Linked DNA regions of Nothobranchius furzeri. The main gene of each other region encodes a partner of the protein of the gene in region 4 in a complex. Links are inferred from orthologs where the notes say so. Each region holds a gene or a part of one and is shown on either strand. Other genes may lie near its edges.

Region 1 (4,018 bases), on a different chromosome or scaffold from region 4:
AAACTGTCAGTGTCGTGCCGTTGTCAGGTAAAAACTCTGCACTGCATTTGAATTTAAATCTGCCATCGCTATTGGCTAAGAGGTACCCTAGAACGTTAGCTGGTACCATATGATGTCACAGTGTCGTTGTGAGCCTGTGTGTGTGTGTGTATTTCTTAGCAAAACTATTGACACTCATTTATATAGTTAATCAGCAAAAAAAAAAGTTAATTTGGGAGTGACTAGCTTTTTAATAACAAATTCACTCATCCTTACTCTTTAACCTATAACAAACCTTTATTTTATAGTAATTTGGGTTTTATTCAGCTATTCCGTTTGTCTTTTAGAGAGAACCGACCAAGTGGGAGAGAGCTAAGCTAGTTATCCACTAGCTGCTGCTGCTGCGTGTTCTTTGTGTTACAGCCTTAACCAGAAGTCGCTTTACTGTTGAATATTAAAGGTCATATATGTATATATATATATATATATATATATATATATATATATATATATATATATATATATATTTCATTAAGGATGAGTAAAGGATACACAGGAGACCCTGAGTGCTGTTGAACATAGACACTCCTGAAAAGAAGCCAGCCAGCTCGATTACAAACAGACCAAGTGTGACTGCCAGCGCCACCACCAGCCTGGAGGGAACAAAAGAGATCATTTAATCCGAGAACCTGATAATACGAGTGTGTTACATACATATCTACTCACTTTTTGTCTTCGGTATCATACTGCTCTGGTGTGAAATCCAGTGGTAAACATGCTTTTACATTATTTTCCTATAAAAAGAAAAACAATTGCAAATTATTTCAAGGGCTGAATAATCTGGATGTGATGTTGACCGTAGAGCAGTGGTGTCCATCCCTGCACCTCGAGGGCCCCTATCCAGCATGTTTCAGTGGTTTCTCTGCTCTGCTGTTTTTAACCAAGAGGTGATTAGGGTTGTCACGGTAACCGGTGTAGCGGTAAACCCCGGTAAAAAAGTTGACAATAATAATAACCGTCTTGTTTTTTTAAAAACTATATTATCTCGGTGGATTACCGTGGCTGCGGTGTAGGCGCGGTGACCCTTACCAGCCACCGTATCATCTGCTGAAGTTGCCGGCGGCACATGCGCACTTTGTTGTTTACAACCAAAACTTTCTTGAAGCTAAAGCTGAAATAACGGACAAAGGAGGAGACGGCAGCACTCAGGACATTTATTATCGCTCTAAGAAGACAAAGTCAGAAGTACGGGCATTTTTTTATACCAGAAGAATGCCGAGGGAAAGCTGATAGAAGACGGCTATCCTGTTTGCAGCACGAGCAGAAAAAGTGTCTGTGAAAGGCAGCAACGCTTCAAATCTCATGACACATCTGCGTGACCATCACCCACAACTCTACAGTCAACGCAAGGCAAGCTAACGTTAGCGCTTTAGCTAAAATGCGTGATCCGAGGATTTGGGTTGAGGGAGAACGCAACGAGTCGCTATATAAAGCAGCCGCAGCGCCGCTACCTGCATATAAACCGTGTCGCGGACACCGCCATGTTGAAATGACGCTATGCATTACGGGGCTCCCAGGGGCAGATAAGAGTTGGTCTCTCTCCGAGAATAATTATGAATTTAACAACGATTACTGCCTGATGCCATTTTCCCACATCTGCAAAGCTCACTGGAAGGACACAAACCGAGGACAATATTTTCCTGATATAGGGTTTATTACTCAAGTAAGGGTAAAAAGTATCTGATTAGAAGGCTACTTGAGTACTGAGTATCATCTGGTCTAATATTTTTAAAATGATGACATCAAACAGACATAAAATAAGAAAAGTTATGGGCAAATATTGGTATTTTAAAGACTTAAGGGGAAATATGTAAACAAATAAACAACATAATTACAAAATAACACATTTTAGGCAAAATTTAGACACAAACTGAGGACAATATTTTCCTGATATACAGGGTTTATTTAGTTTCCTGAAAATGTAACACGTTTAAAACAATACCACGATAATACCGAAAACCGTGATAATTTTGGTCACAATAACCGTGAGGTTAAATTTTCACACCGTGACAACCCTAGAGGTGATTAACAGCTTCTGCAGACCTAATCATGCTAAACAGGTGACTCAACCATTGAATCAGGTGTGTTTGGGCAGGGAAACAACCAGAACATGCTGGTTAGGGGTCAATGAGGACACTTCCTGGAACTTAAATGACGTTTTATAACACAACAAGGAATATGTTTTAATTACCTTTGATGTTTAAGCAGAATTTCTAACAATGTGTTTGTGTGTTCACCTTTGTGGTATTTCATATAACAGCAACGTCTAATAAAACCACAGATCTAAAATCCCATAAAGTTTTCTCCATTATGAAAATAAAATCAGGCACAAGAAATCAGATTAAAGATAAACCATTTTTTTCTTACCCTTGACCAAAAGATGGTGATAACAATGACAAGATGAGCTGTGATGGTGAGAAACCGAGCAGGAACAAGGCTGCTGATGGCCGACATGGTGATCCTAATCAGCAAAGTAAAACTCTAAAAGCTCGTGAGTAAAAAAAAGAGTAAAAGGTTTTTGTTTACTGCGACGGAAACCACTCAGTAAGCTAGGCTAGCATGTAGCTAAATGTGCTAACTTTAAACGAACACTTTAGCATCTGTTTATCTTGCGGCTAATGACATAAACCAGCTGATTCATTTGTTTGTTTAAAAACTCGCGAAGTCTATAGCTTAGTTTTGTGTCTCGTTCGTTAACAGAGCCAAAAACTTCACGTTGTGACGCAACTAACGGTTGCTACAACAACCACGGACAATGTGCATACGGTTTTAATGACCGGACAAAAAAACGAACACCTAAACGGTTCCGCGTTGACCATGAACGCGTCACGTAAAAGAGTTTTTAATCAGCAGTAAATAATATAAAACAGAGAAACCCAAACATCTTATTTAGTAACGGTGGGTAGTCAGCGCGTTTCATTTTTCCTGGTCAGAGTTAGTAAAAGAGGTGTAGCTTGACGTGTAGCTGGATATTTATTTATTTATTTATTTATTATTTATTTGTTTATTTATTTGCTTTTTTTATTCATCAATACTGCGATCTGATGGTAACACCTGATGTCTTTTCATTTTTATCATAAAAATGCTTAAAACTACCCGAAAATTCAGGTTCCCCGAAAAAAAAAACAAGACAAAATGAAAGAAATAGAAAGGGCCACCAGATCCGTTCGCTGTTGGATAAAACGGTTTTATTTTTAAAAAGACAAACAACAACCGCATGTTTAATTGGAATTGGCAGGATAAACGTGCCTGTAAAACAAAACAGCGCAATAAGAAACGAATGTGTTTCTGTTAGATGGTCTGAGCCAGAGATTTCCCACCCCCATCCCACCAGTGGACTCTTCCCCCGAGGCAGACTGAACCGATCCAGCGTGCGTGAGCAGCGGAGCGGCACCAGCCAAGGCCCGGGCTTTGCCTCGCGGCCAGGAGAAGAAGACAACCAGCCGGGGTTTTCTCCAGGAGATCCTTTTGAGTCGCTTAAATCGAGAAAGCATCATGGCCGAGTCGGAGTTCCAAACCTTTACTTCTATCATGGACGCGCTGGTTCGCATCAACGTGAGTATGACGCTGGCTTTATTAGTCACTTCAGCCATTTGTGCAGTTTCAGTCTGGATGTTTTAGCGGATTTCCCCCCATGTTTCAGATATGAAGCCATCTGCATACAGATGTGTCCAGCTGTGATGATGGAGCGTGCTAATTCCGTTTGGAGACATGATATCAGCGTCACAGTAAAGCTCTGGCACTGTGTAAATAACAACAAAACAACATTTAAAACGTGGAAGCTGAAGTTGATGCGTTTGATTTTTTTACTGTTGGACTAATTTAAATATGTTAGAAAATAGCACGAGAGGCGTTGGGCCGTGCACACGAAAAGACAGAGATGATGCTGGTTGTCATAGAAACGGGATGCTGCGCCCTCTAGCTGCAGTGATGGAAAAGAGCCACCACGTCCACGGAAACTGATTTTCATCATGCTTTT
Region 2 (2,875 bases), on a different chromosome or scaffold from region 4:
TTATTTTGTTATTCATCGTTTTTACATTTGATTGAAGTCTTTTTTCGACACAAACGTCCTTTAATGTCCAGCGTCCCCTTTAAGGACTCTGGCCAACAGCTCAGCGCCCAATCACGGCGCGTAAACTGAACTCTGTTGTTAGCAGCTAGCATTAGAAAAAACAATTCCAATTACCGGAGCGATATTTTCCTCCCTCTGTTCATTTCAAAACCCACAGTTGAGAACAATTGTATTTCGGTCATAATAGCCAAAGCAGCAACGAGCCTCTTTACTCGGGTGTACGTGCTAAATACCGGGAAAAATGACTTCTGCACTGGTGAGTTTGGCTAGCACTTGTTACTGTAGCAACTGAGGAAGTTCGTGTCTGATTTGTAGTAGACTACTTGTTTTGGTTAACGCACACACACACACACACATGTTCAAATATTCATAACGTTACAAATATGAAATATTAGGTATAGTTGGATTGATGGTAAACGGTAGATGAATAAGAAACCAACTTCAATGATAAGTGTTTATTTATAGCTGTATTTCAGGTGTAAAAACATCAGCATAGAAATGTACAAAACTTTGCCGTGTGTAATTTTTCAAAGGCATTTGCGACAAAACAAACTTTTTATAAGAAAACAATCAATACAACATTCTTATTTGACGTCTCAGCTCTCGACGCCATGTTTGTCAAAGTGTCTTATGATGACGCCCAGCTCCAGATTCACAGTGCCCATGGCCTCGGTGTGCAGTCTGTATCTGTCCGCTCCACTGTAAATCAGATCCGGGTTGCGGAGCTGGGGGCCTCCGCCGACAAATATTCGTGCTAGCTGCTCTTGCCAGGAGCCGAGCGGCCTCCATGTCACACAGCTTATGCGGTGATGTCCGGGGCTGGAGGGAACGTGGCAGTACCCGTATCCGTACAGCTGGTAGCGGCCGAATGAGTCCTGGTGCCACACTTGCAGATGAAGCTTCGGCCAGCCCTGGAGACCTTTGGTCGCATAGTGCAGATCAATTGGGTGGCTCCAGTAAGCCATTTCTCCGCTGTGGGGGGAATCCACCTGAGTCTGACCCTCCTTCAGCCCCGAGAGAAGACGCCATGCTCCCCCCGTATGAACTTCCCATTTGCAAAATAGGCTTTTTTGAGGAAACCCGCTGGCCCCGATGATCTGTCCTATAATGTGAAGCTCTGCCATTTCACAGCTGTCCGCTTTAACCAGAACATGCGACACACGGAGCCCGCTTTTATCAAAGGCTACAGAGCAACAAACGCAGCTCACGTCTCCTTGGTAACCCAGCCTGCCATAGTGTGCTCTTAATACAGCACTCCCTGAGCAGAGTCTGTCAGGCAGCACTTCCTGTCTAGGGCTGGTTCTATTTTTGAAGGCAAATGAGACACATTTTTATATCTTCTTGCTAAAAAAATATTACTTAACCTTTAATTTAGTAAACTAATTACGAATTTTAACCAATTTAATTAATGACGTGAAGCAGCTGTTACATAAATTACAATCATACCTGAAAGACTGAATAAAGGGTATACAAGAACCGCTGGTTTACTTTTTTCCGAATAACTATTTAACAGCGCAAGTTCAACAAGATGGCAAATGAAGTGCACTGTACTTTTTAATGTATTGTTTACATCTCAATGGTGCTTTATTTTTTAAGGTTATAAATTCTAAAAAGCTATTTATTTAGATATGCTTTCTCCTGCTTTTCCTGATGACTGTTCATCTTGCAACTTTTATATAACTCAATGGATAACTAAAGAAAGTAAAATTTATTTATATAGAACCTATTGTAGAAAAGAAAATCATGAAGTTCTTCAATGAAAATTACATAAAAAATAAAACATAAAATACAAAAAAGAAGAAAATATCATTTAATAACAAAAGTGGTCATAAAACAAATGAAAAAATAATTTCCAAACATAAACTTGTAAAATAATTGAAAATCTCTGTTGATTTCATCATAGTCTGATCCAACCCTAGAGAGAAATTTCAAGGGTCACAGGGACGTCGTGACAAGTGTGGACTTCAGCCGCAACATGAAACAAATTGGTAATATTATTATTATTTGATCTGAGCCTTTGTCCGTCTATATATTCACCTGTTATCCAGTTTGTTGTGTGCACATTGTAGTTAATACCAATCTCTTGCTTCAACCAGCTTGTGCTTCCTCCTTTCTCAGTCACAGGCTCTATGGATTCTTGTGTGATGATCTGGAACTTGAAGCCTCAGATGAGAGCTTATCGTTTCGATGGACACAGAGAAGCTGTAAACTCTGTCCAGTTTTCTCCATCTGGTCACCTTGTGGCCTCGGCCTCTAGAGACAAAACTGTACGTCTCTGGGTGCCCAGCATGTAAGTTTATACGTAGCAGCATTTTATGTTGTTTTCTTCTCATCAAGTTTCTCCAGAAATTATCACTCAAGACAAAGCTGTGGATTCCTAAAGGCAAAAGAACAAGATCTGCTGATTACTCTAATTTCATCATACCAGCGCCCTGAATAAACAGTGTGTTTGTCTGCTTTATGTATGAATAATACCTTTTGTGTTTGCAGGAAGGCTGATTCAACTGAATTCAGGGCTCACACTGCCACTGTGCGTTGTGTTAACTTCTCCGGTGATGGACAGAGCCTGGTCACAGCGTCTAATGACAAAACAATCAAAGTGTGGACGGTCCACAGGCAGAAGTTCCTCTTCTCTCTTAACCAGCACATCAACTGGGTCCGCTGTGCCAAGTATGAAACACACACACTCCCATTTAATACCACACCATGCAAGTTTCCCTGTGATATTTGTAATGATGAGTAAAGTGTTGTACAAGTGTTTAAAAAATTTAATATGTGATGTCAAGTTTTCACCTTTTTTTTTTACACTTTTCCT
Region 3 (3,959 bases), on a different chromosome or scaffold from region 4:
AGTATATCTCACTTCAAAGAAGAGGATGACTCTGGGGCTTTCATCCTTTTGCTCAACAAAGTAGCCAAAGCGTTCGTTGAATATGATTAGCTCTTGCCACTCGGGGATGATGGATTTGTTCTTCTTGAAGTCAAAAGGCTGAGTCATGATAGGGAGGATATGGTCGACGTTCTGTCCCTCATAATAGGAAGACACAGGTCGATGGCTTCAAAACACAAACAGATTTCACTTTTAATTAAATGTTTGAGCATGAAAACATTTTTTTAAACTGTAGCCCAAATATTTTAACGCTGATAGGTGTAGCAGCATAAGATCAGAGATAACTTCTTCTCACCAGTCCCTTTTCTTCACATAATTGCCCGTGATCTCATCAACAACGTGGATCTTCACCATGGGGTGCGAGATCAGTAAGTCCGTCTTCAGGCGATCCGTTTTATGAACGAACACTCCCAGAACAAGACCGTCATCAAATGTCGGCTTTTGCTCCTCTGCTGCTTCAGCTTCACTTTCTTCTTTGACAACTAAAAAGTTGAGAAAAATAACTCATCAAAATCTCTTTTTATGTTACACAAATTACTTTGTTTTAAAAAACTACCGTGCTTCTTCTTCTTTTTCTTCTTTCCCTTTGATTCAGTTTTATTTTCCTCATCAGCATCTGGATTGACTTCCTCATCTTGATCCCTGATTAAAGAAAAAAAAAGTCAAAATGCTGCTTAAACTTTATTCTTGATATCAAAAACTACAATAAAGCTAAAATTAGAGAGAAATACACACCCTACATCTGACTCAGTTGTTACAGATTTCAGCTTTTTCTTTTTCTTCTTCCCCATATCATTATTCAACACAGCACTTTGTGAGTTAACAGTTTCCCGTTTGACCCTTGTTTTCTTCACAGTCAGCTCCTCTTCCTGTGCCATCTGCTGCTGGTATTCATGCAGTAGTTTATCTTCTGGATCCTCCACCGGACTCTCTGCAACATCTTCTACATTTTCTCTGACTTTTCCCTTCTTACTTTTTCCTTTTCGTTTCTTTTCACCAACAGCAGCTTCTGGATTCAAAGTATTGTCGGCTCTAGAAGCATTTGCCCCCTCCTGTAAGTCCTCTGGAATGTCTTTGGGTACAGGTAAAGAAGGGAGGTCCCTCTTACTCTTCCTTTTGGCTTTTGATGCTTTAACTTCTTCATCCTTGCTGTTGTTACAGTTAACCTGTTCTGCTGTTTCCTTTTCTCTTCGTTTGTTTTTGGAATAACGAGGGCTGCCCTGTTCAGGGTCATATGTGTTTTGCAGAATGGTTTCGTCATCTTCTGTGTCTTTCTCAAGGTTCAGCTTCCTGGTCAGATTCTGAAGCTTTGAAAAAAGAGATCGACAATAATAATACATGTGATTTATTAATATTTTAAATTGCTAGAACTGGTTCACATTAAAGAAAATAGAACATTCTTCTGTTGCAGATGCTTTCTATAATTATATTTCATAAATAACTCAAGTTTGAATACAACACTGCAGCCAGAATGTAGAACATTTGATGACAACCACTGGGTGGAAAACAGCACATGTCAGAACACCTACCACTATGGTCTCGTTTGCTTCATGGATTTTCTTCTTTGACTTTTTCTTCTCAGATCCTGAATATTTTTTGAAGACTTCATTAAATCTTTCCCGGGTCTCTTCACTCACACCTGGAAATGTTTATTTTTTGTTATCTATACAATTCTTGATTACAAAAGTTGCTTGAGATAAACACTTTAGAATCATTTGCTGAATTTGTAAGTGGTTGTAAAAAAACACTGATTACATATGGTAGTGGCCTGTAATAGTACGGCACCTTCTTAGGGTTCAACAACCCCCCAAGGCGCACCACAACACAATCAGTCATTCACACACACACATACACATGCTGGTGATGATGAGCAACAATGTAGCCACAGTTGCCTTGGGGCGCACTGACAGAAGGGGGACTGCTGAACACGGGCGCCACCGGTCTCTCCGACCACCACAAGATGGGTTAAGTGTCTTGCCCAACGACACAATTCTCTGGCGGGAGCTGGGATCAAACCTGCAACCTTCTGGATGCTGGACAACCTGCCCTACCTCCTGAGCTACTGCCAGCTTTGGTTTTGTTTGACTTCCATGAAAATACAAAACAACATCAAATAATCTGAGAGAATGTAATAAATTAAAAGGATTTTAATATTAATTTAACAATAACACTTAATATATATTTTTTATTTAGTGTAAAACTTTAATCTCTGGATTGGGTGGTCACTGAAAGATATTTGACTGGTTTACTAGTTATTAAATAATTTCTATATATTTTTTAATTGATTTATTCACAAAAATTGTTCTTTAGTCGCTTCAGGACAGCTGAACACTCACCTGGCATTTTCAAACATCGTGCTGTTTCTCATTCTGAGGGAAAAACGCCAATAATCCAGAAAAAAGCGTATCTAAAATACAAAGCAAAATGTCGCAGCTCACATTCGCGACTCTAAAGTGAGCATTAAGTTTCACTTAATGATACTAGAACGTGTCCGCTTAACGGAGACACACGAGATGTTTTATTAATAATATTTGTTAGCTATTTCACCAGAAGCTAGTTAGCTAGTTGCTAGCTAAATTGCTCTGGTCACGTACTACGCCTAAAAAAGTTATATCTTTGTTATTGAAATACATTATTGAACCAAAATATAACCATATAATTGTTTTTAATAAGTTAATGTGAGCTTTCTACTTGAAACTCCTTGTTTGAACGCGGGTTACGCTTAAACTGTCCTCTACCGCACAACGCCGTGATGGTTTCCAAGTCAACAACGTACGGGCGGAGCGACGTAGATAAACAAACAAAAATGTAACCAATGAAATTTAAGGACACGAGAACGCTATAGCACGTAATGAGTGTAGCTCCCCCCAAATGCTGCGTTCAAAGACGAACATAAACTTGGATTTTCCTAACTTATTGCAAGAGCTCAAAGCAAACAGTGTGGCTCACTTCTTTCTCCCACAAATTAGTCAGGATTAAATTTACTTATACGTTTCTACCCGTAAAATGCTATATTTTTAATTAAGATAAAAGTTGGAGAACACATACATTCATGGTTTACTTTTCGAGCTTTGTAACTTCAGTGAAGGATGAATTAAGAAAATTATCATGTCAGAGTATTCAAGTTGTCTTGAGCTATAGATTTTCTATTTGATACTTGCACAAATGTGTAAAGTGTCTGAACAGTTATATATACATTCCTAACACAAACTATAATTATGCATTACATAACAGTCTTGTGACTTTACAGGTGAGTCCTGCAGGTGAAGCAGACACAAGTGTCAGAACATTTCATGTGAAGAATCACGGCTTTTATGAGAGCTGCTCCAGGTTGCTCAGAGGACTTTTTGATCGTTTGAAGAGATTTTGGGGAGATGTTGAACAAAAAGTAAATGAAGTTTTCAGAGAAACCTTCAATGTACCTGCTTAAGGAACACACCTGAGATTGAAATATGAAATATGAAATAGGATTCAAATAGTAACACACTTATTTGATGATTAGCTCAAAATAAAAATAAAAACGTATTAATGAAAATACCAAAATATTTCAGATTTATGCAAAAAATGATCAATAAAACTTTAAAGGCGTCTCATGAGTTTTCCTTGTGAAACCCATCAGAATCGTGGGTTTATTAATTTATTTTCCATTTTAAGTTTATTCTCCATATATTTTCTGTAACAGCCATGTACAAAATCATTAAGGGCCGCACTTTGGGTACCCCTGATCTGAGATCTGCCCAGATTAGCTGCAAAAGGATTTTTGTTTAAATGAAAGGAAAAGCTGCAGAAATGTTCCATTAAAATCTCTGTTTTCATTTTCCAAAGTTCCTATTTAGATGCATGAGCATTTTCACATGACCCAAAGTCTTTGAGTAATTCAATCATAGATCGTCCAAGTATCAAAAAGAAGGAGCAGTTTG
Region 4 (2,472 bases):
TCGTGTGGCACTGTAAGGACGGCACCCTTGTCAAGGTGTGGAGTCTCTATGTGCCGTCAGACTGACGCATTCAAACCAATAATTTACATTTGAGTGTACGGAGGAGCTGAGTGGTTCCATCTAAAACAACTTATCTACACAGATGTGTGTGTGTGTGTGTGTGTGTGTGCAGGTTCATCGTCACCACCTGGGTCTCCGGTGGCCAGTTGGGGACACCCACCTCTCCAGCAGGTCGGTGGTGGTTCGGGTCGATGCCTACAGCTCCACCAACACCTTGTTCACAGCTCTTTCAGCTCTAAATGGACACAGCTTCAGACGGCTTCAGGATGTCCAGTTAGAGTCGTAACCGGGGTATTCGCTCTGCTGAACCTGACACTTGAGGAACCAGAAGTCTCATGAGAGTGGTCTTTAAGGGACGAGGTGTCCCCGTCCTACAAGCTCCGACCTGAAGGACTTGCCAGCTGGGTGAGAAAATCTTTGTGTGAAGAGTAAATGGCAGATTTGACAGATTAAGGCAGTTCCTTTATTGACACACTTATAAATACGTTACATGAGAAATGACTGTAAACCTACGAGTTAAGAAAAGACAAAAGCTGCTGTATAGAAAACATAAAAGAACCAGTTTAATATTAAACCCTCATTGTTTTATTGTGGAACAAACAGGATAAGGGCTGCGTTTTAACCTACGTTAGTGTGCCAGACCCTCAGTTAACTGATGGACACGCTGGGCATCTCAGCCTGGACCCCAAACTGGTCACACACCTTCTTCAGCTGCTCCTCCAGCAGGATGTTCTTCTTCACCTCCAGGTTGTAGTTATACTTCAGATCCTCCAGCTCGTCCAAGAGTGTTGGGTCAAAGCTCTCCAGCTCCTTCTTCAACCTCCTGACCTCCGCTTGAAGGCTGCTCTTCTCCGTTTCTGCTGCCTGCAGGAGGGTGTTCACTTTTCTGTAATCTGAAAATAAAACTAATGATGCAACATCCACCACTGACAGGTTTATTTTCTGTATACAATTAAACTACAGTGCTTTAAAATACTCACTAGGAGTGTGAACTGGCAAGTATCCAGTGGTTTGATGCATTGTGACGCCAAAAGTCAGACAATATTTTTAAGTCTGAATTAAAAACGCTTCTAAGACTCAAGAGTTACCCCGTGATCTCGTTCCATCAGGATAAAGGCGGTAAACCCTGCTGCCACCTAGCAGTCAGAGTGTGAATTGCACTACACAAAATAAATAGTTAACATTTGCATGAAAGTGCTCAATAAAAAAACACTTTTCCAGTGCATCGCTATTTTCTCTCATCAGAAGCTTAAACCCATCGATGAAATGAGCTACAGAGAATCGTGGAACCAGAAACGAGTAGCTAGTGTTAAAAACTAAACATAAACAATAAAAACCCAAAGCCTCCACTGGTTCATGCTGAAGGAAGGGCTGACTCTCTCACCTGATGAGGAAGCCGTCTCCCCGTCTGGCTCAGCGCTCTTCAGCCTTCAGACAGATCGTAGCTACAGTCAGGATCTCCAGAATTTAAAGTTATAAGTTCTGAACGTAGGGCTGGACAATATAGACAACAAGCTCATCGATAAAAATGTCAAAAATACATTTTACGCGCAGCCCTGGGCCCCTGGCCATCTTAGGCCATTACTTCATGTTAAAACACGTTGGTTGCATTACCAGACTTGTTTTTATCAATTCTGTGTTGCAAACCACCATTGTTTGTTTGTTTGTTTGGTTAAGTACTTTAATCTATTTTGGGACAATTTCTTCCTCCTCTCCTTGCTGCAACATCTTGTATAAATCACACTGCTGTCTGTTTAGGTTTGAGAGGGGATTGGCTGGGTGTAAGTAGTGACTAGTATGAAGCTATCCAATAGGCTGTAATGGAAAAAGGAACATTTTATTGATCCATTTGTTTTCTATTGAACCACATGTCTATTGGTTATATATATATATATATATATATATAATTGTCCAGCCCTATCTGTACGTTTCCACAGTAAAATCTAAAGTCAGATGGAGCGGAAGTGCAGACAACAAAACGGCAGCATAAAATTGTTGGAAACTAAAGTCATTTTTGACAACCTCCCCTCGTTTCAGAGGCTTTAACATGATTGGACAAGACAGAATACCTGCTAAATAAATGTTCAGTTCTAATAATGAGTAGAAAGTGGTGGCCTAACGTACCTGGTAGTAGTCTGGACCCCACTGGAGGCACCTGCATCAGCCTTTAAAGCAGGAAACCTTTTTAACACGTCAACCTGAAGGAACACATCAGTGACACTCATGCACCACTCTGTTAAATATTCAACACCTGTTGGTCACGCTAACCACATGTCATCAGTTCATGTTTTTACGTTCAGACCCTGAGACTGGGGACAGAAAACAGAAGCAGGAAGTGGTGGAACCTACACAGTTGCTACTGGAAGACTTTAATATTCACATCTGCTGTCCTGGAAGTTTCTTTAGTCTCTG

What was found.
Region 1: cep290 (region 4) and tmem107l share a complex: the UniProt entries of both Homo sapiens proteins name them as parts of the tectonic-like complex. The link is inferred for Nothobranchius furzeri from reciprocal best matches to the Homo sapiens genes CEP290 and TMEM107.
Region 2: cep290 (region 4) and b9d2 share a complex: the UniProt entries of both Homo sapiens proteins name them as parts of the tectonic-like complex. The link is inferred for Nothobranchius furzeri from reciprocal best matches to the Homo sapiens genes CEP290 and B9D2.
Region 3: cep290 (region 4) and ahi1 share a complex: the UniProt entries of both Homo sapiens proteins name them as parts of the tectonic-like complex. The link is inferred for Nothobranchius furzeri from reciprocal best matches to the Homo sapiens genes CEP290 and AHI1.

What each region holds. Positions count from the first base shown.
Region 1 is NC_091745.1:78,310,947-78,314,964, forward strand, and holds the start of tmem107l (transmembrane protein 107), read right to left. Parts: upstream 2,801-4,018; 5' UTR 2,494-2,800; coding exon 2,407-2,493; intron 774-2,406; coding exon 706-773; intron 633-705; coding exon 532-632; intron 1-531. UniProt on the Homo sapiens protein: Plays a role in cilia formation and embryonic patterning. Requires for normal Sonic hedgehog (Shh) signaling in the neural tube and acts in combination with GLI2 and GLI3 to pattern ventral and intermediate neuronal cell types.
Region 2 is NC_091743.1:62,503,167-62,506,041, forward strand, and holds b9d2 (B9 domain-containing protein 2), read right to left. Parts: upstream 1,623-2,875; 5' UTR 1,185-1,622; coding exon 657-1,184; 3' UTR 501-656; downstream 1-500. Other genes in the region: poc1a (POC1 centriolar protein homolog A), read left to right, coding at 302-316, 1,964-2,048, 2,179-2,350, 2,551-2,730. UniProt on the Homo sapiens protein: Component of the tectonic-like complex, a complex localized at the transition zone of primary cilia and acting as a barrier that prevents diffusion of transmembrane proteins between the cilia and plasma membranes.
Region 3 is NC_091758.1:20,121,040-20,124,998, reverse strand, and holds the start of ahi1 (jouberin), read right to left. Parts: upstream 2,801-3,959; 5' UTR 2,383-2,800; coding exon 2,376-2,382; intron 1,679-2,375; coding exon 1,569-1,678; intron 1,347-1,568; coding exon 775-1,346; intron 682-774; coding exon 596-681; intron 522-595; coding exon 335-521; intron 206-334; coding exon 13-205; intron 1-12. UniProt on the Homo sapiens protein: Involved in vesicle trafficking and required for ciliogenesis, formation of primary non-motile cilium, and recruitment of RAB8A to the basal body of primary cilium.
Region 4 is NC_091744.1:50,606,358-50,608,829, reverse strand, and holds the end of cep290 (centrosomal protein of 290 kDa), read right to left. Parts: intron 2,259-2,472; coding exon 2,185-2,258; intron 1,489-2,184; coding exon 1,445-1,488; intron 984-1,444; exon of another isoform or gene 954-983; coding exon 709-953; 3' UTR 501-708; downstream 1-500. Other genes in the region: rlig1 (RNA ligase 1), read left to right, coding at 1-35, 173-346. UniProt on the Homo sapiens protein: Involved in early and late steps in cilia formation. Its association with CCP110 is required for inhibition of primary cilia formation by CCP110.